4 linked regions of the Lonchura striata genome follow. The protein of the gene in region 3 interacts with the protein of the main gene of each other region in a biochemical or structural test. Links are inferred from orthologs where the notes say so. Each region holds a gene or a part of one and is shown on either strand. Other genes may lie near its edges. The genes, in order: NUDT16L1, CHGB, LRRK1 and GPBP1L1.

Region 1 (7,461 bases), on a different chromosome or scaffold from region 3:
GGGCTCGGGCTGGTCCCATCACTGCTAGCACAGCTAACTCAGAATTTTAGGAGGCCAGCAGGTGCTTGTGCCAGGGAGGGAACTGGGACATTGTCCCTGTGTTCAACCTGAGGTTACAGCTTGTGTCTCCTAAGGGCTGGCTCTGTCACCAAAAGAAAGAGGATTTTTAACAAGGAGAATGTGGTCATAGAATCACAAAATGGTTTGTGTTGGAAAGGGCCATAAAGCTCATCTCATTGCAACTCCCCACTGTGGACGGCCAACTTGCACTATCCAAGGTGGCTCCAAGCTCTCTCCAACCTGGCTTTGGACACTTCCAGGGATGGAGCACCCACAGCTTCTCTGGGCAACCTGTACCAGGGCCTCACCACCCCCATAGTAAAGACTTTGGCTGGAAATGCCTCCTTCCTTAGTCCTAAAATTTACATTTTATGTCCAAACCTTACTGGACTTCAGCTTTCCATGGAGCTCCTCAGGAGCAAAGGAATGGGGAGAGGAGTGACTTGGATTTCAGAGCACAAAGTGCTGAATTGAGATCCTGTAGTTCTTGTCTGAGGGCTCCTCTGTTGGCCCTGTGATGGAGGGGTTAGGTGAGGATATGGGGCTGTTCAGATCAGATCAGACTTGGTCTGTTTCTGGAACTCCTCACTGTGCTCCAGCCCAGATTTTCACCTGAGAAGGGAGCCCTGAAAGTGTGAGGAGCAGCACAGGACCTGGGCCTCTTGTTGCTGTGCTGGAGTTTGGCAGCACTTGGCTCTGTCCCACCCTGCTGCTGCTGTTTCCATGTGGCCAATACTGGAGGCCTTGGTGGATTCAGCTCCCCAGTCTGAGCTCCTGCTCATGAGAGTTGGCTTGTGATGCCCCCAAGTCCTCCAGGCCCCAGGGTGCTGGCAGCTCCCTGCAAATGGAGTTTCTCTTGCTGCAGCGCACTACGGTCTCCCTCATCCCCGATCCATGAGGAGGATGAGGAGAAGCTCTCCGAGGACTCGGACTCGCAGGCGGTGCTGAGCGGGGGTGAGCTGGTCCTGAGGGAGACCAGCTCTCCAGAGGTAAGTGTGTGCTTGCTAGGGGGGCTTCTGAACCAGAGCTCTTCTGGGGGGGCTTCTGGGACATGGCAAGTGCCTGCTGGGGGGCCATTGCCCAGAGCCAAGAGTCTTGGCTGCTTTGTTTACCCCTAGGGCTCCATGGGGAAGGATGTAGCCACTCCCTGTGCTCCTGACATCTCTTTGGAAGTGGAAAACCACTTAGCTGGAGCAATGGCAGAGCTGACCTTCCCCAGCATCCTGGCCAAGTCCAGCAGTGTTTGGGGTAGGGGTGGGAGCTGGGCATTAGGAGCTTCCAGTGCTGGTAAGACCCCTGTATCCCAGCCTGTGGTGCTACAGCACTGGGGTAGCCCCCTGCTCCTGCCCTGGAACAAGCCCTGGCCCTGAGCACAGCTCCCTGGAGAAAGCCAGAGCAGGAGAATGGCACAGCAAAGCCTCCAGCTGAAGAAGTAACCTGTGCTGTCCCTCCTTACAGAGCGTGGCAGGGGAAGAGATGGAGGAGGCCTCATCGGTGCAGCAGGGTAGGTGTGGGTGCAGCCAGACCTCTGCTCGATGTTCAGTGCTGTTGTGTGGGACAGGGACCATTGGGGAATGAACAACTGAGCTCAGAAACATCCAGCCCCCTAAACCCATCTCTGAGGCACTGTTCTTCACCAGGGAAATGTGCCAGGGTCTTTTATTGGAGGTGAGGGAGCAAAATCCACAGGTCTCCCTGGCTTATTTGCCAGGCCTCTTGCCTTGCTTTGAGCTTTACTCAGGTAGAGCTTTCCATGCCATGAGCTCTCCTTGCACCAGTGAGGACACCACTGGGGTCCTGGTGAGAGCACATCCACTGTACTGGGCACACAGAATGGGCCTCTGGGTCCTTGGGATGGGTCTCTGGTGCTCAGTGAGCACCCAGAGGGGACAAGGATGGGGTGTGAGAGAGGAGTGATGGGCACGCTTTGGGCCACGAGGCTGCAGGTGAAGAGGTGGCCCTTTGGCACTGTGACCCGGGCCAATGTGACCGGCACTCCTGGAACCTCAGTGGGGCTGGGTGGGCCGGGGCAGCTTCCTCACATGAAGACCTCGACCCACCCTGGCTGTGAGCGCCCGCGGTCCATGCTGGGGCTGAGGGGCCGCGCTCTCGGCTGGTTCCAGGTAGCCGCCCGCCCTCGGTCGAGGACGTGCTGCAGGACGGTGGCTGCGGCGAGAGCCGGAGCCTGACGCGGTCCGAGAGTGACCCCCCGGTCGACGTCTTCCTGCCAGGTAATGGCCGTGCCGCTGGGGCCGGAGCCGCCACCGTGGCTCCAGGGCCGGGGGGCGCGTGGAGCTGTGTCCCACAGCCCCGGGGTGGGACTGGAGCGCTCCTGCCCGGTGCACGGGCTCCCACTTCCCGTGGGCAGGGTGAGCGGTGGGCAAGGGGGCCTTATACAGAGGTAATGGCCCCTTCTCTCTCCTCCTCCGTCACCCTCGTGTCTCTGTCCTTCCCCTCCTTTCTTCTCTTTGGGCCACGGCCCCTCCCAGCACAGTTCTGTGTGACAAAGGCCTCCTGTGTGCTCCCAAGTGTGCTCCTGCTTCTGGGTGAGGGAGGGGAGCGATCTGGGCCAGCAGCTGGGGACTGGGGCAGTGTTGTCACGGCAGGAGGGTCCCAGTGCGCCATGCTCTGAGCACACCCGTGGGACACTGCTGTCCTCACCTCTGACTGTTGTCGTTGCAGCCTGTTTTCTTCCGTAGAGTCGCAGTCTGTTCTGAGTTACCTCTCTAATGTCTCCTTCCCTCTCTGTCTGCCTTCCTCCCTCCTGTCTTGGGCAGCACTTGGTCCTGATTCCTGCTCTGTTGGTATAGAGGAGTAAGCTGGTACGTCTTCTCGTTCTTCTTATGCATCCCTGTTGTGTGGGGCAGCAGGGCCCTCCTGGGAACGCTGGCAGAGAGTGGGGATGGGGCTGGTCCTGGCCACCGGGGCAGAGAAGGAGGGGCAGCAAACCAGCCGGGCTGCCCTGCTGGCTCTGTCCTTGCTCCCTTCCTATTCCTGGCACAGAATTCCTGCTGTCCCTGAGTGCCAGGACGCCAGGCCGGGCAGCAGAAACCCCTCCCCACTGGCTTCTGCTGCGCGTGGGCTCTGCTGCCTCCGGGGCACCACGAACATCCAGGCCCCTGCTGGCTTCTCCCAGGCTGTGGCAGACAGTGTCCCCGCTCAGTGTCCTGTGTCCCACCCTTTCACTCAGCCTCCCTCTGAGGACATGAGTGGTCGGCTGCAGCCCCATCTCCTGTGGTCCGTCCGGGGCGGGAGGGATGGCTGAGCACCCGCCGGGGCTGCCTTTACTGAGCCTGAACTCCCTCTCCTCACGTAGGCTCGTCCGACTTCGCCAAGACGCTCCCCGTCCGCGGCACCGGCAGCCCCACGCAGCCCCTTCTCTTCGAGCAGACCCGTCTGCACCTGGAGGACGAGCAGAGCCTTTCGTGAGCGGGGCCGGCCCCGCCCGTGCCGCCGGAGCCCGCCGGGCTCTCCCGGGGACGCAGCGCGGGGTGTCGCACCGACGCGGTTTCGGCACAGCCTGTGCATGTTGGCTGGCGGTGGGTAGGGGCTGGTGTCGTGTTTTTCCGTGGGAGATGTCTGTGGGGCCGGGGCGGGGCTTCGAGGTTCGAGTCGGCAGATGAAGGACATTACCGATGTATATTTTGTACTTACCGAGCACAGCCCTTTGCTGTCACTGCCCCTGTACATAACTGTGGCCCTCCCTGCCTTGCCGGGGCGCGGGGCTCCGCGGGAGCGGGGGAGTGCGGGGGTCAGCCCCGGCCCACGCCGAGCCCGTCACGGGGGGACGCGGGGGTCAGCCCCGTCCCAGCCCGCCCGGGGTGACCCCCGCGCCCCCGGTCCCGCAGAGCCCGGCGCTGCCCACGCCGTGTGCCTTGTTCTGCTTCTGCGGGGGGTCCCGGGGCACATCCCCCCACCTCCCGGTCTATGTTTGTAGTAATAAACCCGTGGAGCAGCCACGCGAGTCCGTGTGCAGGGGGGCGGGCGCTGGGCAGGGGCGGGGCCAATGGGCGGGGCGGGGCCAATGGGCGGGACGGGGCCAATGGGCGGGGCCAATGGGCGGGGCGGGGATTGGTGCGTGGGCGTGGCCAAGGCCCGGGGGGGGCTCGCTCGTTCCCGCCCCCGCCTCCTTCCCGGCATGCCCTTCGGCGCCCCGCCTTCCCCCCGCGCTTGGCCGGGATTGGCCGCGCGCGCTGCCCTAATAAGGCGAGCGGCGCGCGCAGCCCGCCCGCCCCTCATTGACCGCCCGCCGGCCGCCCCGCCTCTGCCGCGCGGCGATTGGCGGGCGCTGCCGAGAGCCCATTGGCCCTGCGGCGCGCGGCGCGCTCCCATTGGCCGAGGCGGGCGGCGGTCCCGCCCCCGCGGCGTCGTGGGCGCGGCGCGTGCGCGGAGCGGACGGCGGTGGCGCGAGGCGATGGCGGCGGTGGGGACGATGGCGGCCATGGGCCCGCTGCCCGCCATGGGCGCGCTGCCGCCTCTGCCCACGCTCGGCGTGCCCGGCGTGCCCGAGCTGAAGCCGCTCACGCGGTACGAGGCGATGCGGCTCGGCCCGGGCTGGAGCCACTCGTGCCACGCCATGCTGTACGCGCCCAACCCGGGCATGCTGTTCGGCCGCATCCCGCTGCGCTACGCCGTGCTGGTGAGGGGGGGCGAGGCCGCGCCGGGCCGGGGCCGGGACCAGGGCGGCGGCGGGCGGGCCTCGGGCTGGGTCGGGGCGGACGGGGCTGGGTCGGGCCGCGGGCTCCGGGGGCGGCGGGCTGAGGGGCGGTGGCTCCGCGCTAGTTCCCGTTCAGGGCGGTAGTATCAGGCTGGGCCCGAGCCCGAGGGGGAGCCCCCGGGCCCGCGGGTCCGTGCGGCCGGGGCGCAGAGCCCCGACGGCCGGGCCGCTGTCGGTGGATGGTCCTGGATGCGCCGGAGCTGGTAGTGCCGCGACGGAGCGGCCGCGACGCCTCCCGCGCCCCTCCGGCTCCTCCGGAGGCCTCCGTGCCGCTCCCTCGCCCCCCGCCGGGGGCCGCGCCGTGCCCCATTAACACCCTGCGCCTCTATTGCAGATGCAGATGCGATTTGACGGACTGCTGGGCTTTCCCGGGGGGTTCGTGGATCGCCGTTACTGGTCCCTGGAGGACGGTCTGAATCGGGTGCTGGGCTTGGGTTTAGGCTGTGTGCGCCTGACGGAAGCTGACTATCTGTGCTCGCACCTGACAGAGGGGCCACATCGCGTGGTGGCACACTTCTACGCCAGGCAGCTCACCCTGGAGGAGCTGCACACCATCGAGATCAGCGCGGTGCATTCCCGAGACCACGGGATGGAGGTGGGACACCCGGGAGGGGTGTGCGAGCTCTCAGTTAGCCCAGGGAGGCACCGCTTCCCTCCTGGGTCTGCCGGGCTGCCCTGGCCAGCCCGGCCGGGGAATGCACCGCAGGTAGAGCTGCCGGCGGCAGGTGCCCGCACCGCCCGTGGCATCGGCGTTAGGGACTGTGGCCGGGGTCGTGCCGCAGCCTCCAGACCTTAGCGAGCTTGAGCTCCAGCTTTTCCTGCTGTCCCACGCAGGGATGATCCCCGTGTTGCCGCTCAGCCTCAGGATGCGGGCGAGGGCCGTTTGCAGCTGGGGGGGATCTCCCCCTGCCCTGGGCCGAGTGCCCCGGACTGGACCGTGACCTCGGTGTGGTGATGTTGCTGTGACCCGAGTTCCTCCCGTGCGGGGGGCACCTTCCTGCCCCCGGGCAGCCGAGCCCGGCTGATGGCCGGGGCAGAGCGTGAGAGCCAGGGCCTCCCGCGTGCCCACGGGGCGCTCGGTGGGTGCCAACAGCCCTCCGAGCAGAGGCAGCGGGCGCTGGGTTGTGACCTGCTCGAGGGGACTCGTGGGTCAGCCGTGGTGTCCCCACGCAGGGCAGGGCTGGCGGGGAAAGCGGGACTCCCCATAGTGGCCTGGGGCAGCGGGATCCCTCCGATGGGGCAGAAGGGGGAGCAGAGCCAGGGCTGGGCTGAGGGGCTGGGCAGGGAGAGCAGGGCCCTGTGGGGGCATTTGGGCAGGGGCACTGACGGGGCTCAGTGGGGCTGAGGGGAGCAAGGGCAGGGGCTGGTGCGGGAGGGAGGGGCAGGACCTGGCACGGGGGCAGGGAGAGCCTGGGACAAGGGCTGGCGGGCACTGGGTGAGGGTGTGGGGCTGAGGGGGTGTGGGGCAGGGGGGGCTGGTGCTGCTGTGGCCCCTGCTGAGCTGTGCCCGTACTGTTGCAGGTGATGGGCATGGTCCGTGTCCCCCTCTACACCCAGAAGGATCGCATGGGCGGGCTGCCCAACTTCCTGGCCAACTCCTTCGTAGGAACCGCCAAGTTCCAGCTCCTGTTTGCCCTGAAGATCCTGAACATGGTGCCAGAGGAGAAGCTGGCCGAGGCGGTGGCTGCCACGCAGAGGCCGAAGAAGGCGGCCATCGACCACAGCGGGGGGGCAGCAGGACACCACCACCACAAGGCGGGCAACGAGCTGGGTAGAGCGGGCAACGAGCTGGGAGAGAGGGCAGAGCACCCGGGCATGGTGCACGTGGGGGCCGAGCAGCATCTGGTGGGGCTGGAGGGCCAGGGCCTGGGGGAGGCCGAGGCGCTGGAGCAGCACGTGGGGCTGGGCGCTGATGCTATGGCAGAGCAGGCGGTGGCTGAAGGGATGGAGTGACGCCGCCGTGTTGGCGCTCAATTAAAAGTGGGTGAGCTGAGAGACTTGTAACTTTCTGACCCGTGGCTGCTGCAATGGCTGCCCACGCGATCCCACTGCCCAGCCGGGAGGGGTTGGGTTTGTCTAAAGCAGGGAAAAGCGATTTTATTTTTATGGCCATTAAACTCTTAGCGAGCTTCCCAGATCAACCTGCACAGCCCCTGCAGAGAGTTCATGTGCTTACGTGAGGGTGCCAGAGCCTTAGAATAATGCTTTTGATTTCAGGGACACACTGCTGCTGTCAGGTCCCCCTTTTATTTGTAAGGAACAAAACATCCAGTTTTTTAAATGCCCCATCTCGACTTGGACGTGGTTGTGTTGGTATGGACACAGCTGAGGCCTGGGGCTTCTGGTCAAGCACCTCTGCCCATGTTAGTGGCCGGGCTCCTGCTCGGGGTGCTGGCACAACGGGGCAGCCATGCCATGAATTCCCTCTGGGGCGTTGGGGATGCTCATGTGGGTCCCTACCTGGAGATCTGTGGGAGCAGGAAAGTGGAATAAATGGCTTTGCTGAAAGTTTAACGCTTGGGCTCGTTCTTGAGGCTGGTGCAGAGCTGGTGGTGACCCAGAGCCAGGGCGGTGCAGGATGGGGGAGCAGAGGCCAGAGGTGAGGGGCTGGAGCTGAGGTGGCAGGAGAGCTGTGGGCTGGCTCAGGTGCTGCACTTGAGAGTTTGGGGTGCTCCAGAATGGCT
Region 2 (7,843 bases), on a different chromosome or scaffold from region 3:
TTCAAAAAAAGGATGATGGAAAATTTCTTGGGTGATTCCTTTTGCTGTGTGAATACTGCTGGCATAAAATAGATCTCTCAACACTGTGTTTTCAGTCTGCAATTATGTGCAAGGGCATAATTGGATTTTTGTTTCAGTATATACATTGTTCAGTAATAAAAATTTTATTCTGAAACCATTACAGTGTGTGGCGAAATCTATATGTTTTTATGTTACAAAATGGAAATTTGCCTATGAAATTTCCATGACACTATCAACCACAGAACAGTATTGTTCTTACCAAATAGAACCCTTGCTGAGAGTCAAAGTGCTATAAATATTTAAAGAAATTAATTACTAAATAAGCCAGAGTAGTGCCCTAGTCTTTAAATATTAAATGGAACATGCACAGTTGACAAAAAGCAGGCAGAAACACTGAATGGGGCAATTTAATGGCCTAAATGTAATTATTTGCAGTGCAAAGAGAACTGTTAAAGTAATTTTTTGCTTAATGACAAGCAGTACTCAGAATAGGAGGGCTTACATGTCCACATTTCTCTTGCTGAAAGAAATTTCTATCCTGTTCTTTATTCTACTACAGAGGCCCCAGAGTTCACCAAGGAGGTTAATTGACCAGTGTGAGTAAATAAAGGTCAGGGGGGTTGGCAGGGGTTGTTTGAGGGAGGGTTTTCTTTGGGGCAGCACCTGGGTGGCAGCTCAGCCGTGCCCAGCTGCAGGGGGAGAGCTGCTCCAGCCATCTCCAGCTGCTCTCTGGGCATCCCCTGCCTGGGAACTCAGCCCTGCAGTGATGCCAGTCCTCCAAAAGCCAGCCCAGAGAGGTGTGGAGGCAGCTCCTGGGCACGGGCCAGGACTCCTGGTCTGCTCAGGAGGGTGTTGGGTGCTCCTACTGCTCCCTGGTACAGGAGGAGGTGCCCGGGGCTGTGGAGGTCGCTTCTGTTGTCAGCAAGGCAATTGGTGGCAGCTGAGGCTGGGAGAAGGTTCAGTCACAGCCCGATTTGTAAAGCCATGAGAAATCTGTCAGGGCTGCTTGTGCCCCTGCTCAGGATCCAAAAGCTGCATTTTGGCTTGATGCCCAATTCATCTGGAGTGATGAACCGGCCAGTTCAAGTCAAAACTCCGGGTTTTGACTTGGAGTCCAGCAGATCATTTTTGGACAGACAATCAGGTGAGAAGTGGCAGCACAGAAAAAATGAAGTCTTGTGACTAAAAATGCCAGTGGTGCCCACATAGGCAAATTCCAACTTTCTGTTCCAGGAGGAGATGTGCTTGTTGGTTCCCATCTGTGTCATCTTCCCCATGGAGGCACTTGCCAGTGGAATTGCAGGAGCTAACTTGCATTTCCTGCCTGGAGCAAGCAATGCCAGAGGGTTGCTACTAGGGAGGGGCCTAGGAAGTAGCACTTCATGGCTCCAAAGTATGCTATTTATTTATTTATCTATTTATTATTTTAAACTTATTAATCCAGTTTTCTGCCATCTGACTTAACAAGCTGAGAGAAGGATGACTGAGGAGGAAGAGAGGTATGTGTGAGCAGCAGATGGGAAAATGTTCTGTGGAAAACCTGGGATGCTGGATAAGTGTTTGTGTTTATACTTGGTCTTCCTCTCCCACCTCTGTTTTGGGTTTGGTGGTTTCTTTTGTTTTGTTCTGCAGCCTGTGAGTGTATCCAGAAGCCCTGAGGATTTATATCAGGTAGCACAGGGCTTTTTCCAGAAGACCACAGCAGGTCTGTGCATGTATTTTTCATACCATTTTAATAGTTATGACATCCCTTGTAGGCTTATTTTAAACTGTTTTCAGTTAGGCCATATAATATTTGACCTCATTTCTATGGAATAGATACATCACTGAAAAACAGGAGCTAGAAGTACCCTACATGGAAGAGAAGAGGGTTACAAGTGAAGAAAATTTGTTTATTTGATTGTTTGTGGAATGTGGACATGTGAAATGTCCACATGTGAAAAATTGTTTGCTTGTTTGTGAAATGTGGACATGTAAGCCCTCATTTTTTCTTTGTTTTAAGAAGACTAAGAAAGACCATTCAGGAAGAGTTGGACTGACTTTTTAAGGTTCTCAAGCAAAAATACCCTGTAAATACTTTGGATTTTTTAATGAAGAAAGTCTTTTGACAATGAACGACTGGAAGTCAGTTCCATCAGCTGTTTCTGCACTGGCATGAATAAAACCCCACAGTGTGAGGTGCAGTATAAATACAGAAAATCAAAAAAAGGTATTTGTCCATGCTACAGAAATCACCCATCTGCAGCACACAGGGTCCCAGCTGCAGCTCAGTTTGCTGGGCACTGGTACCATGTGCTAAGGATGTTTCAGCTGTGCAGCTCCATCATCCCTTAAGTTGCAATGAGCACTGCATATGGCAAGGTTTCTGAAAGGATTTTGGTTCTGTTAATGAAACTGGATAGATGGTGGTGGCCTTTAGGTGCAATTGTCTTTCTCTAGACCCATCCTCTTAGCACCTCCTGAATGAAAGAGATGAGTTTGTTCATGAAATGGGCTGCAGTGTTTTAATGCTGAGAAAATTAATTGGCATGTAAGAATGAAGATAATCCCCACTAGCACACCTAATTAGAAGAGCAATCCTCATTTTCCTCATGCAGTCTCCTCTCAATTTAGAAGGAGCTCAGGCACAGAAATTTGCTTGTCATCCTTTGAAGTTCCAGCTTCTAGCATGAGCCGAATGTGTATTTTTTAAAGCATTTGTATTTGAGAGAATCCCACAGGATAAATACTGTTTATTCATAGAGCAATAGATTGTCACAACATTGTGAGGCGTGGATGTCACTGCGATCAGAGTACTGACACATCTGAGAAAGGAGGTTGGGGGGTGCCACTCACAGCTGATCAAATGAAATGTGCCTTTGCCTGCAGTAATCCTGATTTAGTGCAGTCACAGCTCTCTCCTGATCTGCAGAGAAACTCACCCCAGCTGATCCCTGGCTGTAAAAGTCCATGTGAAGTGACACTGCTTTAAAAACAGAGGCTGACTTAATTAACTGTGGGCAAGATGCTTGGATGCTCTGGTTTTCCAGTGCTGGCAGAAAAGTCTGTGGGATCCTGTTTTGGAATCCTACCCTGAAGACAGAGTTGGATATACTCCAGCCAGTTCTGTCCCTACTCCTGTCAGAGACCTCCTACAACATTTGCAGGTCTTGGCAACCTCGAACCTGATAAAATCTGAAAAAATCTGAAAAATCAAATCTGAAGGTGTGAAGGTGCTCCTATGCAGACCCTGATGTAACTGATGGCAAAACATGCTATTTATATGCCTGCAGAAGCAGAGAACACATAAAAAGCAAATGTTTCACTTAAAATTCTTTCTCATGAGCAACTGAAGAAGTTGAGGCCAGGCTGAATCCTCACACAGACAGGGGAGGACAAGGGGGGCCTTGGAGCCAGGGAAATTTGTCAGTCTTTTGTAACAGGTTCTTGACTTCCTAAAGCCAAGACTGGAGATCTCATCTCCAAAGATGAGATCTCCTGCCTGTGGAGATGGGGCTGCTTAGGCAGCACAGAACAGCATGCAGGAGGGACACTGGGGGATGTTGCATGTGGCTTGTCTTCCATGGTGGCCAGGTGACTGACTTCTGTTACTTTGCAGAAATTGTAAACTGAATGCAAGCTGAGCAAGGTGTCCGGCTTTGCCTCCTGGTGTCCCTTCCAGGCTGTCTCCTGAAACAGGCTTCAAAAGGAGCTGGAATTCCTGCTTCCTGCTGGTGAGTTGGATTGGGGCACTGTGCTAGTGTCCTGTTTTCTGTCTTTAAAGGCTGTGTGCTTGTAGCAGCCTGCCATTGTTAATGGACAATAGAATGGCACACAGACTGATATCAGAGGGAGCTGCCAGCTGGGTGTATAGATCCATTGTCCTCCAGGAACACTGGCACTTAGAGGGCCATCTGCTTGGCTCTGGAGACAAAGAAAAAAGAAAACTATAAATACACTTATAATTGGAGATGGCCCTCCGAGGGTTAATGAAAACCAAAAGGAATTCTGCTTTTTGCTGGTCTCTGAAGGGAACCGGGTGGACCATTCAGACTTCCTCATTTTAACTTGTCATTCAAGCTTTGTATTCCACTAAGGATTAATTGGGACAGCAGGGGCTGTTAAAGGAAACGATGTAAAACTTGATCTCTGTACGCTTCCTCTGGCTCCCCAGAGCATCATCAGAGTAAATAAGAGGTTTGCCTGCGGAGATGGATGCTGAGAGCTGTGATTTCCCTGCTAGAACTCTTGGGGAATACTGCGTGCCATTGCCTCCCCGGGTGCCATAAGCACTGGGATTACATCCCAGTCGTTCTCGGGGTCTGGGTGTACTGGATGGGGGGAGGCTGTGAGAGGAGGGGAAGGGACCAAAACCTTGCAGGAAGAAAAGGCGGCTGCAGCACCTGAAGAGGCTCAGATCGGGAAAGGGTGTGGAGGCGCGGCGCTGATTTCTTGTGGAAGCTGTGTGAGAGGGATGGGTTACCGCACCTCCTCCCTTCGGCGGAGGCTCGGCATCCTCTGACGGGAGGAAGGACCTCAGGATGCTGCCGCGTCCTGTGAGCTGGAGAAAGAGGCAGGGAAGCCCCGCTTTGCCCCTTTTCTGAGGCACGGCGGGGCGGGGGATGCACAGGGCCGTTGGGAGCATGAGTCGGGGGGCGGGCAGGGCGGCTGCGGTAGGTGCCGAGGCGGGGAGAAGGAGCTCGGCTTGCCGGAGCAGTGAGAAAGTTGCCCCTCCGAAGGGGAGGGGAGGGGGCGGCACCGCCCCCGGGGGCTCGCGGTGACGCAGCTCCGGCGGCCCCCCGCCCGCTCCTCCGCCCCCGGTCCCCTTTTAAACCGCGCCGGAGCCGCCGAGCCCAGCCCAGCCGAGCCCAGCCCGGGCAGACCCAGCCCAGCCGAGCCCAGCCCAGCCGAGCCCAGCCCGGGCAGACCCAGCCCAGCCGAGCATGGGGCCGCGGGCGCTGCTCGCCCTCCTGGCGGCCGCCGCCCTGGCAGGTGAGCGGGGCGAGGGCACATCCCGCCGGGAAGGGCGGGGAGCGGGGCAGGGATGCACGGGCTCGCTCCGGGAGGGGACGCAGGGTGCGGAGCCGAGCCCGGGCTCGGTGGGGATGGCGCTGGGCGAGAGCTCCGCGCTGCTCCGCCTTTATTTTTATCCCAGCGCAGCGTCCTCGCACAAAGACTTGGCGGTGCCGCTTCCTTACAGCGGTGCTGCTGGGGTTTTGCCAGCCGGCGCTGGATGCTGGGAGGTGATGGCAAAGTAGCGGCTCTGCGGGTTTAACCAACAGGGTTTTTTTATTTATTTTTGGCACGCGGCATTAAATACTAAAACCGCACGGTGAAATGAACCTTAAGCGCAATAGAATGAGGTGGTGGCTTGGCTCTACAGTGTTTTATGCATACTTACATCATTGGTTGAAAGAGTCGGTGTCATTCTGGGTTGAGTATTTTGGCTTTAGGTCTGTTAGAAGTCTCCACGCTTCTGGGACTTGTACAGAGACTGTGAGGAAGTTGACTGCCTTCAAGTGCCGTTATTGAAATCAAAGAGGGAGGGTGGGATTCGGAGGGGAAGAGACCCCAACACAGAGGAGCTCACCACACTTATACCATAGAGGCTATGGGGGTTTATTACCAAATATTTTTTCCTATTTATGCCATCAAGCAGATCAGGTATTCTTTACATCCTTCGTGGCTGTCGCACTTTCAAATGTGGAACTGGTTGAACATTAAATTCAAGAACTTTCTAGTACTCCTGCAAATCAATATGCCTGAATTTCAGTGATCCTGCCTAGGAAGACACTGTGACATTTTGATGAGGAATGACACTGCACTGAGTCATCTGCACTGATGAAACAAAGCCATGTGGGGATTTCATCAGGGACCCACCTGAAGATCTATTCTAATCTTGGAGATGCAAGCAAAATCCTTGTGAATTTGTCCTGCATTTATCATTTCTCATGATATTCATCACCACTCAGCACTTAGGCAAAATCAAATAATCTGATCGTAACTGCTTGGGCAGACTTGACTCAGGAGGGCTCACAGAGCCAGGGCTTGGCTTTGCTTAGTGGGGCTGTGGTTCGTTCCCTGCTGTGTGTTCAGGTGCAGGGTTTCCATGCCGGTGCTCTGGCTCTGCTCTGGATCCCGCCGTGCTCCGTCTGCTGTGTTCTGCAAGCCCTCGGGTGGTGCCCTGCTGCCTGAGCCTGCTGTCCCTTCATGGTGATGGCCTCACCCCTCCTGGACAGGGGGGCAGCCGTGTTGGCCAGCACCTCCAGGTGGCAGGTGGCCCCAGGGGAGCTCTTGCCAGCTGGCGTGGGCTGGCACTGCCAACGCCCGGCTGAAGTGGGGCACTGCTGGCTCCCCACCGCCTTCCTGGCTCAGCCCTGGCAGGGCAGCTGCCTCAGGGTGAGATTTCAGGCTCTGGCATGGGCTGGAGGCTCATTCTGTTTCTCCAGACAGGTTAATAGGACATTTGTCCAATAGCATTTGGTTCTCCTGCTGTTGTTACGATGCTCTCTCTCTGTTCATGCTGGCTTTCAGTGTTAAACAAGCTCTTGGGAGCTTTTGAATGACAGCAAGGACAGTGGGTACAACCTGACTTTTTCTTTCTGTGCCACTGACAGCATTCACGGGGTGGCCTGAAGTAGGAAAAGATGCCTAGGAGTTTGCTCTGTGCTTTATCCCATCACCTGGGTATCACTCACAGGAGATGTGCTGTGGCTGCATCACTAAAAGGACAAAATCAGATGTTTGCCCTGGAGCCTGTCAGCTTTTCTCAGGGACTGGAGGAGCAGAGGAGCCTCCCCAAAAAGAGCCTGTGAAGGGGCTCTGCTTTCATTGAGCCTGGGAGCAGCTCCTGCTGTAAAGGCAGCATCCCCAACACCTGTGGGAGCCAGAGGATGTCTTTTTAAGAATAGCACCTCTGGTGGGAGGGGCTTTGTCCCCTGCCCTGTGTATGTGCTGCTGCTCCTCCTGCCCGCAGCAGCCTGGTAATGGTTTGCACACTGGCTTAGGAAAGGAGCCCGGAGCCACCTCAGTCAGCCAGAGATGAGAGGGCTGGCTCCCAGCACCATCTCCCCTCACACACCACCTGGCACTCTGGGGGAATGCAGTGCTATTTTAGGGGAATCCCTTCTGTGCTCTCCTTGTGTGGGTTCCCTTCTGAAGGCACTCGTGTGCGCAGGGAAGGAAGGGATGGGGGCTGGAGAAGCAGCACACCCCTGCGTGTGTGTTTGGGGGAGAGCACAGAAATAGCAGGAGTTATTAGTGTGTGATGCTCAGCTATTCCACTCTGAGTCAGTGCTCCAGGGGATGTCTACTTCCTCTGCCAGCACAGAGAATAAAAAGGTTATGCTGCTTTAAATAGTGTAAGGCTACGTGCTCCTGTCTTCCTTGGGGCAGTGCTCATTCCCCTGATGCTGAGAGGTCAAACTGAGCTCTTTTATCTCCATGATGTGCTGTGTGTTCATCTATTTCAGGAGGTCTCTCACTGACCCAGCCAGAGGGGTCATGGTTGTATTTAGGACTCTCCTGACCCGTGCCAGGACTTCAGAGCTGCGGCCCAAGCTGTGTGTATGTGTGTGCTGTGATTCTGCACCGTGTGGGAACCTGCACAGCCAGGATTCAACAGGCCCTGCTTCCTCACACTGCTGTGGGGCTGCCAGAGGTGCTTAACCTCCCTCCTGGAAAGCTCCAGGTGGATGGCAATTGACACAGTTTATTAGTGACACAGCAGCCAAGCTCATGAACCAGCTGGAGGCATTGCAGCAGTGATGGCAAAGTCAGGCAGCACGGAGGGTTTCTTGGCAGGAGCTGCCCAGGTACAGCAGAACTGGTGTAAGGAGGTGTG
Region 3 (7,351 bases):
CTGGCAGGGGCAAGCACAAAGTTGGATGGATCCTCTTTTCCTTCTGAGGTGAGCCTCAAAATGAAGTGTTTCAAGACATTCTGGCTCCTGCAGCCAGATGGGGCTTCCTGCCTTGCTCTGGCTGCTCCCTAAACCCCTTGAGACACATCCAGCACCAGTGTGGCTCTGCTGAATGTGTTCCCAGCCCAGTTTTATTTCTCTCATCTGCAATGTAGATACAGAGCAAGAACATTCCATTGTCTTTTAACTCTCTTCCCATCTGATGTGTGAGAAATTCCTATGGGCTCCCTACACAGGCCAAGCCAAACTCCTTGAATTTTCCACTCACTGACAGCATCACTCAGAAGCTTTCAGACTCCAGAGAAGGAAAGGCTGAAGATACAGAGGCATTACTGTGAGTGACACAATCAATGGAGACAAAAGGAAGAGTGGGATGAGATTTGGGGAGGGGAAAAAGCGGGAAATTAGCTTGAATATGTGGGTAAATTATTGCCAGAGGAAATTAGAGGCTCTATCATAATAAAGGAAAAAGTTAATTTAGGGTGTTTTCAAACATTGTGCTAAAAATGAGGTAAGAAAGGTCTGGATAAGAGCTGGGCTGTGAGGCATAAAAGGGAGCAGGCTGGCTAAGAAGTGGAAAGGTGCTGAAAACAGGTAACGCTGTTTTTTAACTGTGTTAAAAGCCAGAAAACAATAGTGTTGGTACGTTCTAGCTCTCTACCTATGCCTGCAACTGGACGCAGAGTGATGGTGGCCTGAACACAGGGAAAAGCACCGGTAACACCCATCTGTGCCATCCAAAGGAACCCCCAGGCTCCCGCAGCCGTTCTGTGCGCGCACATCCACCCCCGGGTGACCAGCAGTGACCCATCGCTGGGTACCGAGCAGGCTAAAAACATCCTCTGTGTTTAATTTATAGAATGGCTGCGAACAGCAAAGCAAAAGGCACGCGGAAATATTGGGTTTTTTTTCCCTTAGTTGATCCGACGAGTGGGGTAAACGGAGCAATCCCTGGCTTGTCAGGCTCCTGGAGAGGAACGGGTCAGCCTGGGGAAGGGCCGGCTCCTTCCGAAGCGAGGGGGCAACCTCGCTCTGCTCTTCCAGCGAGCACCGAGCTCGCCGCGGTCGGGGAAGGAGCAACTTTCAAAGAGCGCCGCGGTAAGGCCGGGCCCTGCGGGACTGCGGGAGCGCTCTTCCCCAGCCACCGCCACTCCCACGCTGGCATTGCCCACACAGCTCAACCCTCGGAGCCCGAGGGCTGCCCGGGGGCGGGCGGGCGTGTGGGTCGGCTCGGGGGAAGGAGCTCCATCCTGCCGCGGGCCAGCCCTGCCCTCGGGGCAGCGAGGGGCCGTGCCGGGGACTCGCCCTTGGCCGCGGGGCCGGAGGAGGAGCCGCTGTCCCGCTGCCTTTGCCGCCGGGCTCCCTCCGCTCCCGGGCCGCGGAGCGAGCGGGGCGCGGGCGGCGAGGAGGAGGCGGCGGCAGCGCCCGGAGCGCCGGCCCGGGGCGCGGAGGTACCGTGGCTTTGCTGCCGCTTCTCGGGCACCTGCCCCGCTGCCGGGGCAGTCGGAGTGGGGGGCTGCCGGGGCTTTGCAGGTGGAAATGAGGGGGAAAGCGAGCGGGAGTTTGTTTTTGAAGAAAATGAAAGTTCAGAGAGAAGCTCGCGGGAGCGGCGCGGCCGCCCCGCCCGGCGGGACGCGCTGTGAGGGGACGCCTCAGCCCGCTGGGAAGCGGCTGGAAAGGCTTGAGAGACCCCCCAAAACGGGGTGTAGCGCCTGGTGACCCCCCAGCCGGCCGGGCTGTGCGAGAAGGGGATGGTTTTGTTCTCGCTGCTCAGCCGGGACGAGGGACGCGGTCCCTGGGCGGGCAGGGGGTCCCTGGGCTGGCACCGCGGCCCCAGGCTCGCCGTGGGCACCGGGCGGGAGAGCCCCAGCGCCTTCCACCTGGGCCTCTCGGGCCCCAGTGGGACTGCCAGAAACAACAGGTGGTTTGGGTAAAGCACTGAAGTTTTATCAGGGGTTTTTATCAATTAGCAAGCCATTTTCGGCTAACCGCGATGTTTCTGGCAGCCTGTTTTTAGGCACAATGCACAGGGTCAGACAGGGCGGGATGGTGAAGGGGAGGGGAGTGGGTGGTTCAGGTGTGTGCAGTAGGAGGTGTCAGGGCTGGGAATGTGTGAAATGGGATGTAAATCCCATTTACACCTGTTCAGGTGTATTCTGCATGGCCCCTCTCCTTCTGAACGAGACTCTGCAGAGCACATAGACTCTCTAAATCAAATACGTGTGGTGTTTGCACGTTACAGTTGTAACCTTACAGCAAGTGCACCTTGCTTAAGGTAAAGTTCTGTAGGGGTTTTAAAAAAATTTATACAAAAAGGTCCTGAAATACAGAAATCCTCATTACATGGGCGCTGTGTGGCAGTCATATACATGGCTACAGCATTCAGTTACTTGCAGTTAAAGGAACTGATTACCAGAACCACACCACTATTTTTCCTAAAAATTATTTTTCCTTTCACTTTATAAGAGGAAAGTTTCAGCCTGGGGAATAGGCTGAGTAGACAGCAAAAAATCAGGAGTGGAGTGGTTTTCAAGCCTCAGGGGTCCATGCTAGCCCCCATTCAGTGTTTCTTGTACAGTTGCTGTAGGTGCACATGGTTTGTCCCCGTCTCAGAGCAAGGAAGTGCCTCAGAAACCATCATCTGCTGCAGAGCTGGTGGGCCAGAGTGTGCATGGGGAAGTGTTTACTCTCCCTGGAGCTGCTCAGTGCATCAAGGGCACAGGGCAGGCAGCTGCTGGAAGCATCACATCCCCTCCACTGCCAGAGTGAACACCCTGGACAGCTCTGGGGAGGTGTGAGAGCCTTCCTGACACCTCTGCCTGGGCCATCCCACCTGTGGCATGGAGGAATGTGTGGTCCCAGCTCCTCCTGCCAGCGTTGTCAAGGGAAGCTGAGGCCAGGAGAGAAGCACCAGCACCAGTTCCAGGGCAGAATTCAGTCCTTCACCAACACAGTGCAATTCACCACTTTGTGGGCTTGGATCTGGGATTAGGATCACCTCCATCTCAGCCTCCTGCAGCACCCTGTGCCCAGACTAGGGCACAGGGGTGCCAATCTTTTTTGCTGCTGCCAGGCACTGCAAAGTCAAGGTCAGCAGAAGCTGAGTGCACCTAAAATTCAAATATTTGCCTAAAAACAACTGAAACAGGATGTAGTGATTTTTAGTGTTGTTGGCTGAAACCCTGTGTAAGGAGGGAGGAGCAGAAAGCTTCCCGGATAGTAGTGATGGATCAGCATATTTTTATATTCCCCTTGGCCTTTGATCCCAGTTCAGGAAGTCAGCTCTGCTCAGCGAGAGTCAGGGAGGGTCTTGGGCCTTGCTGGCTGGAGTGGGAGGTGGGTTATGAGCTTTGCTGAGCTAGAGCCTCAAATCAGAACTTCATCATCACACACCAGACTTGAGAAGAACCAGTAGGAGTCAGTTGAGGTGCATCATGTCACATCTGAGAGGCGTTTACTGACTGAAACTGAAAGCAGAAAATGAAGGAGCTCTGATGCTGGTTGGACAAACACTGCAAATCCTCCAGGAGCCTGAGCCTCTGTACGAAGAGGTTGAAGGGTGGTTGTGCCACTGTGAAAAGGGAAGGAGTTGGAAGTGCCTCGGGAGACTGAGCTGTGCAATTTTCTGCTGCCTGTTATACCAGGCAGTTCACAAGAAGCCAACCTTTAATAGCTCCTGAGGGCCTGATTTGCCTCCCTGAGTGAAGAAGCCTGATGCTTCCAGGGTGAGAGAGTTCTCAAAAAGGACTGGCAGAGGGGACAAGAGCTGGTGTGTTTCTCTTCACCCTCTTCTCTTTCCTACAGAGGATTATCTCAGTAACCACATCAGTGTTTTTCAGTTTCTCACAGTCTTACAAGAGCTGTGGTTGTCTTTGTGGATGGGAGAGGTTTTGAGGTTGCATTTAGGATTTTTCCAGCTGCACTGCAGGGTTTCAATGGTCTGCCTTTACACCAGCTTGTGGAGAATCTGAAACTGCAGCTGTGACCCCTGTCCACCCCCTTGTCCTCTGCCCAAAGACTGAGCAGCTTTGGTGGTGAAAAATTAGGAACATTATCTTTCTGTAATGCAGAAATTGTTAGTCCCCTCTGTTAATTCATGTTATGCTCTTAACAAAGCTATTATGAAAATAATTATATTTATAGGATAAGAGTATTTCTGCTGTGTGACATTTGGACAACTGTGTTAATAGTAGAGAGGAATAAACATCTCACTATTTCTACAGTGGAATGATTAATTTGTTTTGTTGTTTATTTTTAAACAGAATAAATGATGTTTCTTCAGGATGGTGCTCACTAGCAGCCTCTGCTCCTGCATTCACATGATGGGGATCATCCAGCTTTGACAACACTGCTCAGTCTGAAGTGCTGTGGAAAGTTTGTCTGTGGGGCCTTCACAACTGCCACCCAGAATGTACTGGTGTGTGGGAACGGAGGAATCCACTGTTTGCAGGGAGAGCAACATGGATCCACAGAATGGTAAATAGCAGGATTTGTTTCTTTCCTGTTCAGATTGGGAACAAAAGGTTCTAAGACAACTTGGTAGCCACTGGGCTCTGATGAAGTTTAAAAATGTGAAAGTTTTTTCAGCCCTGATCTTTGAAAATTTACAGTCTGGAATTTTATTTCCAGGGAGAGTGATATTGAACTATGGAGGTGGTAAGAATAGCATTCCCCTGAAGATGGATGTTCTCCAAAGGCCTACGGAATTAGTCAATATATGTATCATGTCTCCCCAGTTCCTAAATATGTTTTACAAGATCTGTGCTTTTTCAGTGTGTGAATGCAAATATGTTCCCAGTCACTGATGCAATGGGCATTCAGGATATGAAAGCTGCTAAAATCAGAGCATCTCTTCTCAGCCTGAACAGATATTAACCTGCTCCAGTTTTACCCTCAGCTCCTATTCAGTGGCTTGCAGTGATTTTATGTTGGGCTAGATTAGAACATTTGTGTTTATGTAATAAAGAAATTCTCCTTTTAGAAGGGACATATGCTTCAGGTTGCTTCCTGTGAATTTTTTTTTTTTTTCCTGAGCAGGCAAATTATTTTTGGATGGTTTCTCTCACTGCAACCCTCAGCTCCCAGGCACTGCTGCCTTTCTCTGAGTCAAACCCCAGTTATGTTTCTGCAGCAAGAAATAGCCTCCTGTTCTTGTGTAACGGTGTTCCCCCCTTGCAGCAAGTGCTTCATTAGGAGGCAGCATCTGCGTTTGAAGTGTGGGAAGAAGGTGTGTTTGACGCTTTGTAGTGAGTAAGCAGGCTCCAGCAGAAGCTAATGTTTTTGCAGCCTTATTTTGGATTTTATCAGCAACTATGAAGCAAAACCTGGTAGTTTATTCAGAGGCCTCCTTGTCTTGTCTGAAGACATTCCTCACCAGCGTCACAGGGAGCTCTGGGAACTCTTTCCTTTCTCCGTACGTATTCTGCTTGTTCTGTGATACTGATTTTTCTGTTTGCTGTTGGCAATTAGGACTGTACCTTTCTGTAACACTTGGTTATTGAATATTTTTTAAATTCTTAAATTCTGTCTTCTGAGTTTCTCTCTGGAAGAAATTATCTCCACTTGAATACTAAGCTATAAACCATGAAAAGAATTTTAATCTGCGCTAACGGTTCACAACTGTTCAGAATTGCTAAATCTTTGTTCTGCAGTAGTGATCTGGCAAGTTTTCTCTCTGTGTAAAGATACAATAAATAAATTATTGTAGGAGTGAATAATGAAGTGGAAAGTGGGATAGTGAAATTTTTTACATTTTGAATTCAGATTTTTTTCAGAGAACTTTATTACACGTTGCTGTTATGTAATTATATTCAGTTAAACTGGTTAGCTGGAAGCATGCAAATCTCTGGTAGACTCTTCTATATGGATATATCTGGGTTATATTAAAATAGTCTACAGTGCTGGAAAACTGGGAAAGGGATCCTTGTAAAGCTTAAGATCCCTGTACAAGGCACCAGTACTGCTTTGGTGGATTTGCTCATTGTAAGGGTTTTGTACATGCTTAAACTCACTGTTTTGGTCCTGCCAAGAATGATTGTCATTAGCTAACTGGTCCACTCCTTAAGTTACTGGTCCTTGTTCTGGCTCAGATCCCATTACAGGGGCTGAAGCAGGAGCACGGTGACTCATTCAGCCTCCTCATGCCAGCCCATTGTTTACACCGGTGAGGAACTGTGGATGCAGCCTCCTGCTCCCATTCAGCAGAAGCTGCTGGGAATGGGAGTGAAATCCCGGATCATTTCTTTCCTACCAATGACCTCGTTAGTGCTCAGAGTTTGGAGTCTTTTTGTTTTTGTCAGGCAGGAGGGACTGGCTTGTGGGGGATTTAACCAGAGCACGGTGGTGCTGGGGGCTCTGGGGTGGGTCAGCTGGATCAGCATGGCTGGAGGCCCCTTCCAGCAATTCCCTGTGCACCTTCATTATCTGAAGCCTTAGAATTTTTCAGGAGTTTTTTTTTCCCTGGCAGCTATAAAGCCCTGGCCAATTGTATGTGGAGAAAAATCACACTCAGCATCCTTCTTAGTTAGAAAATGCAACACAGGGTGCAGGGGCTCACCTTGCTCAGGTGTCTGCTCTGCTGTTCCTCCTGGTTGCCAGTGATTTCCCTGTATCCCAGCAGAGGATGCCAGCTTTCCCTGCATCCCAGCAGGATGCCAGCTTTCCCATGGCATGGGTGAGCTGTGTGTCAGACCTGGACACTCTTTGCCCTCTGGGGATGGTGCTGGGCTTGACCTGGTGGTGCTGACCAAGCCCTCAGAGACTTGTCACCAGAACACAGGATGAGTGAGGCTCCCTTGTGGGTGTACTCAGCATCTCCCTTGCCTCCTCAAACCCTGCTTCCCCCTCTCCTGGATTTGTTCATCTTGTCCTAATTAAAAGAAACTGAGCAGGGATATGGGGGTGGCTGCAGTCTCTCATGAAGTACAGGGTCTGGGTTTTTTAAAAAACTTGGTTAAAGAGCTCTGCATAATACAGAGGAGGTGACATGATGGGAATTTTGTAGGAAGTACAATGGAAGCCCAAAGGCATCACTTTATGAATGTGTAGAAAAGCATAAAGATTCTTTGCCTTTCTATGGGCTGATTGATTTCTTTGAATCTTACAAAATTTCATAGCTAGGATTTAATTCTTGTGTGGTTTTCTAGGAGCTCCTCAGAGGTGTAGAACAATCATTGTCTTCTGAAACATAAGGGTACTTCTGTTTAAAAAGCTTATCTCCTTCTTACTGGGAATTTTATTCAAAGTCCCAGGACATTCATATGCCACTGGTGTGTGTCTCAGAGGTGGGATT
Region 4 (7,933 bases), on a different chromosome or scaffold from region 3:
TGATTTTTTTCAAGTATGAGCTTGTTTAAACTGTTTTTCATAATAAAATGTATTTTCAGAACTGACTGGAATGTTCTTGAAGAGGTTGCTTCCATAACTTAGTAAACTATATTACTACCACTTTCATATAATAGGTAATTTTTTCTTTTTATTGGAAAACATATTTCCCAGTAAAACACTAGGGAAAGGTTGGTTATAAATTTTGATTATTTGAGTGGTGGAATTAACAAGCTTCTATAGTAAAATACTCATGTATTTTTCTTCTCAGTGTAAAATAACTCAGACTTCTTGGGAGTATGTCTTGCCAGCTCTATTCAGCCCTCTGTGGGATGAAATTACAGATAATATTTCATAGTCTTTCTTATTTGTATTTCAGGATCCCTCTTGGAACCGTTTGAGAAACACTACCTTAGCCGTATTTTATTAGTTTGGTAACTACAGGTTTACTTCTGATCCCTGTTAACTTTCTGGTTTAATGGAGCTTGAGGGAATCTGCAGTTGTCTGAAATAACTGATTCTGTTATGTTTGAATGAAACTTCAAAGCTGGTTGATTATGGTCTCTGATCATCAGCACCTCTTTTACCTAATCAAGATAAAGACAGGACTCTTCTCTGGACCCATGTTAAAAGATGCCATGTCTAAATAAGAAGGAATAGAAAAACCATTTTTATTCACAAACTCAATTTTATTTCCTTTATGTTCAGAAAGCTCTGAAATATATTGTTTAATAGGGTACTTTCATAGTTCAGTGTAGAGCAACTGATACCCATAAGTGCTTAGTAAGTTGTTTAACATACAAACGTTAACAGATTGCAAAAGGGAGAGTCTGATGTACAGAGCTGCTCTTTCAGCAACATCATACAAGATGGTTCCATCTCCAGGACAGGCAGGTTTCTTAAACATCTGTTCTTTGCAGAACAAAAAACGTTAAGGGACAACATGTGCTTTACTTGATGTAGAACAATGAAGAATAGAGCTTTAACAGAACTATGAGGATTATCTGGTCCTAAGACCACGTGTGGATGTAATTTTCAGCTTTCTTCCTGCATCTTACACTGCTCTTAACTACTACTGATAAAAAGCTTACAAGAAATATGCCCACATCCCATTTCATAGGTTTCTTGAGGTAGTTGACACAAAAAAGAAATCTATGTGACTTAGATTTTATCTTCTACTAAATGATGTACTAGGGGGAGTCAAGTACAGAGAGCATATGCTTCTGCAGTGGTTTCAGTAATAGCCCCATCACGGAGGATTTGCAGGCCACATACAAGCCCGTTGGTACCTGTCCAAATGTATGGATTCTTAGGAGGGAGATGACAAGCTCAGTCCCATTTCAGTCCCATTATCTGATCCCTCAGTGCCAGCACTCAAGTCCTTGTGTCATAGCATACGTTAACAGTCCTTTCATTTAGGAGTATGGCAGATCTTTATGGCTGTGTTGCATGCAGCTTCCTTTGCCAGGCAGCCCTAAATCCAAAAATCTACAAACAGGTGGCTCCAACAGCCTTTTTAATTTCAGTAAGCCTGAGCAGGAATTTCACCTTCCATCCCCTGTAGCACCTTGTCAGCCATACAAAGCTTCCTCTTCAGCTTTTCCCCATTCCACCACAGCAGCTGAATGACACATTTCAGGTGAGTGCTGACCTTGGCTTGCCACTACAAACAAATCTCACCTGTCCTTTCTTATCTGCCAGCGCACTGAGCGCTTCCTCACACAGCATTCCTGGAAGGGTCCAGGCTGGATGGGGCTTTGAGCAGCCTGATCTGGTGGAAGGTGTCCCTGTGTACAGCAGGGGACTGGAATGAGAAGATCTTTCAGGCCCCTTCTGACCCAAACCATTCTGGGATTCTGTGACTTTCAGCACCTCCTCTGAAAATAGGAGTGAAGTAAGAGTCTTGTTCCACAACACAACAACTGAGTAGAATGTGTTTCTGCATAATGCTCTGCTACTTCTTTAAACACCAAACTAGAACTGCTTTCACCTTGTTACTGTTGTTTTCCACACCTCAGAACATGATTACACATTACAGTCAAACTTTCATAGTTTGAAATGTTAGTCACAGTCATGAATAGTCATTAAATGCTTTCATAGTTCAGCACAGAGTAATTCATACCCATTTCATTTTGAATCTTCATTCTAAATTCCTAGAGCAGCAACACCTCATTCAGATTCTTTGTTCTACAGATAAGGGCAGACTCATGCCTGCCTTGGAAGTAATTGCTATTTACAATACTTCCCTCCTGAACTAGCTTCAAAATCAGTTGGAAAATAATTTTGCTTCAAGAATAAGCATCTTCATCTCTGCCATCATACAACTTCTAAGCACAAATCAGTCTTTATTTCTCCTGGAACTCCATACAAATGCCTTATTCATTTATGTTCTGCTGTGTTTTTCTATCATCACTTTGCTCCCCTTCTAAGAAAGCTTTCAGTGCTACAGTGGCCAACAGGGATAATATCATCACCATTGTTCCCACTACCCTCAGTACTTTAAACCACCTGGGGTAAGGAGGAAGAAGGGAAGTGTCATAATGCAGCGCTATCCCTAAGGCCACCGTGAGCATCACTGCTCCCTGAGTGACATCTTTGAAAAGCAGGGCTTGGCAGGCAAGCAGAGCAGGAACTGTGCCATTAGCCAGGTTCAGCCAGTCTGGCTTGGCTGGGCTGTTTGCTGGGAGAGCAAAGCCCCACCTCATTCCCCCGAGGAAGGAGGCTGTGGCAGCACCGTAGGCGACCTGAGCAAAGGCCAGCTCTGGGCTGTAGGTGCCCTGCGTAGCCATGGCCAGCGGCACAGCCACAAACGGGATTAGCCCCCCCAGGCTTAAATAAAGGGCTGGCTTGGGACAATCCTTCAGAGATCCCAGGTCTTCTTGTGGCTCTGCCTCAGATTCTGCAGGGGTTTTCTCCTTGGAGATGGGGAGAGAGGTGTGGAAAGCCCGGAGCTGGGCTGTGTAAACTGATGCTGGTTTGAGGCTCAGGGGTGTGGAGAGAGGACGTGCACATCCCTGCAGCTGGAGGACCAAGGAAGAGCAGGCTGTCTTATTCTTCCCCTGGAGCAGCAGACTGGGGCCAGGTAACTTCTGCAGCTGCAAGCACAAAACTTGTTCTGAACACCGCACAGTGCAGGCTTACAGACCCGCAGGTACTTAAACAAGCTCCTGAATATTGTACCAAGTGGTTTTCCAGTCAGGTCACAGCACAGCTGTGTTTGCTTCTGAATTTCAAGTGGTTTTAACTAAACTAATGAAGGCACCCAGTGCAGCTGATGAAGAGCAACTGGGCTCTGCAGAGTGCACAAGCAAAGCTTACTCAGTGCCCACTATCCCTCCCCACACATTTTCTTTGAAGATGTATCAATCCTCCTCCGAGTAAAATATAAAACAGTTTCATATAGAAACAGAATGAGGTCACCCCAGAAACCAGCTACTGTCCCCTCACTACTCCATAAAGAAATGATAGGAAAAAAAGACTTTGAGACAATAAAACTTGATAAAAGAAATAGCTTTGCCTAAAAGTGTTGTAGAAATGAACTATTCCAGAAAAGATGAGTGACACACTCCAACTTGGAAGCCACCTTTTTTTTTCAAAGCTGCAGTCCTATCTTTTGCTATTTTACTTTTAAATAAATCAGAAAAAAAAAATCCTTCAGTAACTTACTTTGAAAGGTGTGTTGAAGCAGCATCGTTGTATGAGAGGAAACATATTTGTTTTGTCAATGTCCTAAAACAGAAAAATTCAGAAAAAGGTCTGAAACCAATGAATCACTGAGCTGGTCTGATGCCCAAAGTTCAGTCACAGTCTGCATTTACCAAATACAAGAGTACAAGAGTCATATATTTAAAGAGATATGTGTGTGTGTGTATATATATATATATATATATATATATATATATAACATATGTATTCAATCAGTACTTGCCCACTACAGAATACTTAGTTTCAAGCAGCAAGCAGCTCTGTGAGCTGAAATTCTAAAGTTGTATTGACTGTTGCAAGAACAATTTCTAGTTAAAAAACTGAGTATCAGGGAACAGGTGATGGCTTCCCGTTCGTGGATCATCTCCTCTTCAAGGGATAAATGGCTTCACAAAGCTTATAAAGGAACAATTCCTCACACGTGGGAAAAGCGATCACTAGTAAAAAAAGGAGCAGAAAAGGCATCCCATGCAAGCTGCAGGTAAGCTCCCTGCCGGGGTACGACACCCACCAGGGGAAGGTGGGACTCCGCAGTTCCCGGTCCTGCTACGCTGGGAGAGAAAGCCAGACTGCCCTGCCGGAGGGCGAAGGGAGCGGAGGATATACGTTCAGTCCAGAGGGAGAAGGAGCCGCTCTGCCGAGCGGGCAGGACTCGCCGGGCGCTGCCGCCACCCCGGACCCGCCAGCTGTGGCGGCTTCCGGTGCCCTCATAAGCGCTCCGACGGCGCCCGGTGCTAACGCGCTACCGGTCCGGCCGGGAACCGGCACGGCCCACCGTGTTCTGCCGGGCCGCGGAAGGCCCCACCGAGCCGATACCGGGGGCAGCAGCGCCGGTCACTCTTAGCCCAAAGGCCGCAGCCGGCCTGGCGGAGGAGCGACACCCTGCCCGTGGGACAGAACCTGTCCTGGGGAGCTGTGCAGCCGTTCCTGCTTTCTGGCTTCCGGCATCACCGCATCGGGCAAGCCTTTCACAAGAGGACTACAAATCCCAAGCGCCCTGCGGCGCGCCGCCCGCCTATCCGCACGGCGGAGATGGCGAGTAGTCTCCTGGGACGCGTAGTCTGAGGCCGCTTCCGACGGGCGGTGCCGGGGGCCGCGCGAGCCGCCGCTCCTGATTGGTGGGGCGGGAGGCGCGGGGGCCGGGGCGGGGGCAGGGAGGGGGAGCCGGGGGGCGTGTCCCTTCCGCGTGCTCGGCCCCGCCCCGCGCGCGCGCGGGCCCCGCCCCCTCCGGCCCCCGGCCGGGCAGGGCTGGGCGGCCATTTTGGGCAGAGCTTTGTTATGGTTGTGGGGCCGCCGGAGCCGCGCCAGGGCCCGCCCGGTGAGTGCGGCCCCCGCGCCGCCCCCTCCGCGCCCCCCGCGCCCCCTCCGTCTCCACTTGGCCCCCGCCGCCCCCAGGCCCGCCCCGCCGCCCCCCGCGGCATCGCGGGCTCGGTGCGGCCCGGGAGCGGCCTCCCGCCAGGCCGGGCCCCCCCACCCCCTCCCCCCCGCGCTCGGTCCCGCGGCCGCGGCGGCTCCGGGGCGGCAGCGCGAGGGCCCCGCGGGCAGGGCCGGGCCGGGGCGGGCGGCGGGGCCGGGGCTCTGCGGGTTATTGTTTCCTGTGCAGCCGGGAAGTTCGTAGCGCTGACACTGCCGGAGCTCAGCTCCTGTCATGGGGCCGTCCGTGAGCGGGGCGGGGTGGGGGGGGGCGGCGGGTGAGTCCCGGGGACCGGACAGGGGCGACCCCGCTGTAGGCCGGGAACGAAACCGGGCGGCCCGGCCGTTCCCCTTGGGCTCCTCCCGGGCCGCGGTTCCCGGCCGCCCCCGGCGGGAAGGGGCGGTCGGCGCCCGGCGGTGACACGTGGGCTGCGGGCAGCCGGGGCTCGGCTCGCCCTGCCCGCTGCCAGCGGGGCTGGGGAACTTGTCAGGTGCCGCTCGGTGCCTGCTCGGAGGGAAACGGCGCCCGGCCCGAGCGTGAGGCGGCTCTTTCGGGCGTCCGAGTTATTTCCGTGTGTCCGGTGTGTTTGATGCCCCCTTGGCCTAAGGGCTTGTGTGGTTTGACTTAAAGGGCTGGGGCTGGACGTGATCAGAACGCGCCTAGCGTTTCTAATATCCATTTAAGACTTTGAATTCAGTTCAGTTTAGTAGCGAGCTGTTTTGGAACGATTTTAGAGCAGTCAGTAGGTGTCTGCACAAGTTACGAGTTTTTAAACAGCTTTAGAAGAACAGCAGCTATTTAAATTCTTACAAGTAATGGTGGAATGGTTTAAGAGTGTTGCTTAAATATCTTTTTATATTAACATGACCAGGTAGGTCAGCCTGCCTTTCCCCGCCCCCGAGCTGTGAGTGACACAAGTGTTAGTAATGTTGATAATACTCTGAAACGTTGCAAGTGCCTGAGCAAAGTGTGGAAATAGCAAAGAGGGGGAATGGAGATAACAGCTGAGATAATTGGAGCGCCATCAGAGCTGAGTTTACTGTAGAGTTGACATTGATTCTATAAAAATGTTAGGTGGTTATGAAAAAAGCTTATGCAAATGTTACTTCATGAATGAAGATGACTGGTATTGCAGTTAAAGGTTCCCCGTAATGCTTATCCATTTGGAGACTGGTATCTCAAACTTCCAGTTCCTGACTCGGGAAGGATACAGGTGCAGAGCAGTGGTAGGAGCAAAAAAATTCCCAGATTTGAGAGGAGCAGCTTTTCCTCACGCTCTTTCACATAATCTCTGGAGGAAAGTCCCTTTAAGAAGAACTTATTAAAAATTTTGTACTTAGAATAGAAAGGCTTCAGGTGATACTTCCTTATGGTGTTAGGGGTTTTTTTACAGCTGTTTGTAGGGAAGTGCAGTAGCCCTCTGCATTTTTTACTCATCTGGTTTATAGCCTTAATCCTATGTGACACAGAAGTTTCCATTGCAGATATCATACGAGGACCTAAAGTGAAAATATGCAGGGAACAGATGGCATTTAAAAAAAACCACAAATCCTGTTTTTTCTGCAGTGTCTCAGAAATATGAGGAGCAGAATGCAGATGTGAAATACAACAAATCAGATGGAAGTGCATACTTTCTGAATGTTTGAAAAAATCTTCACTTTGACAATATTTATAGGGTATGATCACCTTGTTTCACATATGTGACTGGTGCATGGTGTTACTGAATCTTGACGTTCCTGTTTTAAATTAGGAAATTAAGTCACTACAGGAAAAATAATATTCACTAGTATTTTCATTAAATGGAAACAGTGTTTCAGGAGTTATGGGATCCTTAATTTAATACAGAAAAATGCTGTGGTTAGATCTGTGAATTTCTTCAGGAGTGTGGGATGTCAGATAATGTAGTTCTTGCCTTTAAAAAATGAAGAAAAACTATTGGCTCAGGAGTTAAAGTTACCTTTTTCCCCCCTCAGTGTTAGGAGTTGTTTGAAGTTAGTTGTGTAACTGCTGAATTGACTTAGCTGTGAAGTGTACTCCAGGGTGTGCTTTGTTTGTTTGTCTGTACGAAGAGATTTGGAAAAGGGCTGACTCTGTTCAGTAGAGCTGAGGCTTTAAAGCACCTCTCCTGCCGAGTGCTGGCTGTGCTTGCATGGACACAGCTTTTCCTTACAGCTCCATAGAAACCAGGGGGTGACTGTTGCTCTAGCTTACCCAGTGACAGTCATACTTACTGGATTTTGCACTTGATGAGGTAGTGTGTGTACCAGGAAGTTTGTCTGGGATTTTTAAGTTTTATGTTAAGTAGAGGCAGGAGTTGTTTAGTTTTGGTTCTGCAAATTCAGCAATGTAAGTAGACATTTTACTCTCACTTACCTAGTGACCAGGATGCCAACTCAATCATGTGTGCCTTTTGTTTCAGCAAGAGGAATTGAAGTTCATGTTCTCTTTGCTCGTCAGATTTGATGAAAAGCAGTGAAGTTAGCAGAAACATGGTCCTGCTCAGAATACTTCATGAAAGCCAGGATGTTGTTTAATTTGTGTACTGTAACTTTATATGTTCCTGTGAAAATGTGCCAAACTTTAATGAGTTACTGTATGGTCAGAAGATATATCTATGGTTTTAGGAGTGGATTTAGGTAGAGATTCATAGTGGCTAAGTGTCCACTGCCCTGTGTATGTACAAACACTGGGCAAACCTGGAAGTTCTAGATTAGGCCTGTGAGTGTATAGTAAGCAGGGAGGGAAGCATTTTGGCTTAATTGATCATACACGTTAGTGATCAGGCTGTATCCCTCCAAACTGGAAATTCCTGATTGA

What was found.
Region 1: the proteins of LRRK1 (region 3) and NUDT16L1 form a complex in vitro, tested with the Homo sapiens proteins (2 studies listed by BioGRID and IntAct, with this or other methods). The link is inferred for Lonchura striata from reciprocal best matches to the Homo sapiens genes LRRK1 and NUDT16L1.
Region 2: the proteins of LRRK1 (region 3) and CHGB form a complex in vitro, tested with the Homo sapiens proteins (2 studies listed by BioGRID and IntAct, with this or other methods). The link is inferred for Lonchura striata from reciprocal best matches to the Homo sapiens genes LRRK1 and CHGB.
Region 4: the proteins of LRRK1 (region 3) and GPBP1L1 form a complex in vitro, tested with the Homo sapiens proteins (2 studies listed by BioGRID and IntAct, with this or other methods). The link is inferred for Lonchura striata from reciprocal best matches to the Homo sapiens genes LRRK1 and GPBP1L1.

What each region holds. Positions count from the first base shown.
Region 1 is NC_134618.1:4,128,198-4,135,658, forward strand, and holds NUDT16L1 (tudor-interacting repair regulator protein), read left to right. Parts: upstream 1-4,458; 5' UTR 4,459-4,474; coding exon 4,475-4,699; intron 4,700-5,111; coding exon 5,112-5,372; intron 5,373-6,298; coding exon 6,299-6,730; 3' UTR 6,731-7,285; downstream 7,286-7,461. Other genes in the region: E3 ubiquitin-protein ligase MGRN1, read left to right, coding at 926-1,049, 1,519-1,564, 2,184-2,291, 3,377-3,489. UniProt on the Homo sapiens protein: Key regulator of TP53BP1 required to stabilize TP53BP1 and regulate its recruitment to chromatin.
Region 2 is NC_134605.1:440,357-448,199, forward strand, and holds the start of CHGB (secretogranin-1), read left to right. Parts: upstream 1-4,841; 5' UTR 4,842-4,943; coding exon 4,944-4,992; intron 4,993-7,843. UniProt on the Homo sapiens protein: Secretogranin-1 is a neuroendocrine secretory granule protein, which may be the precursor for other biologically active peptides.
Region 3 is NC_134613.1:21,622,002-21,629,352, forward strand, and holds the start of LRRK1 (leucine-rich repeat serine/threonine-protein kinase 1), read left to right. Parts: upstream 1-4,347; 5' UTR 4,348-4,469; coding exon 4,470-4,536; intron 4,537-4,673; exon of another isoform or gene 4,674-5,473; intron 5,474-7,351.
Region 4 is NC_134611.1:13,257,993-13,265,925, forward strand, and holds the start of GPBP1L1 (vasculin-like protein 1), read left to right. Parts: upstream 1-4,927; 5' UTR 4,928-5,020; intron 5,021-7,933. Other genes in the region: TMEM69 (transmembrane protein 69), read right to left, coding at 2,373-3,092, 3,664-3,708. UniProt on the Homo sapiens protein: Possible transcription factor.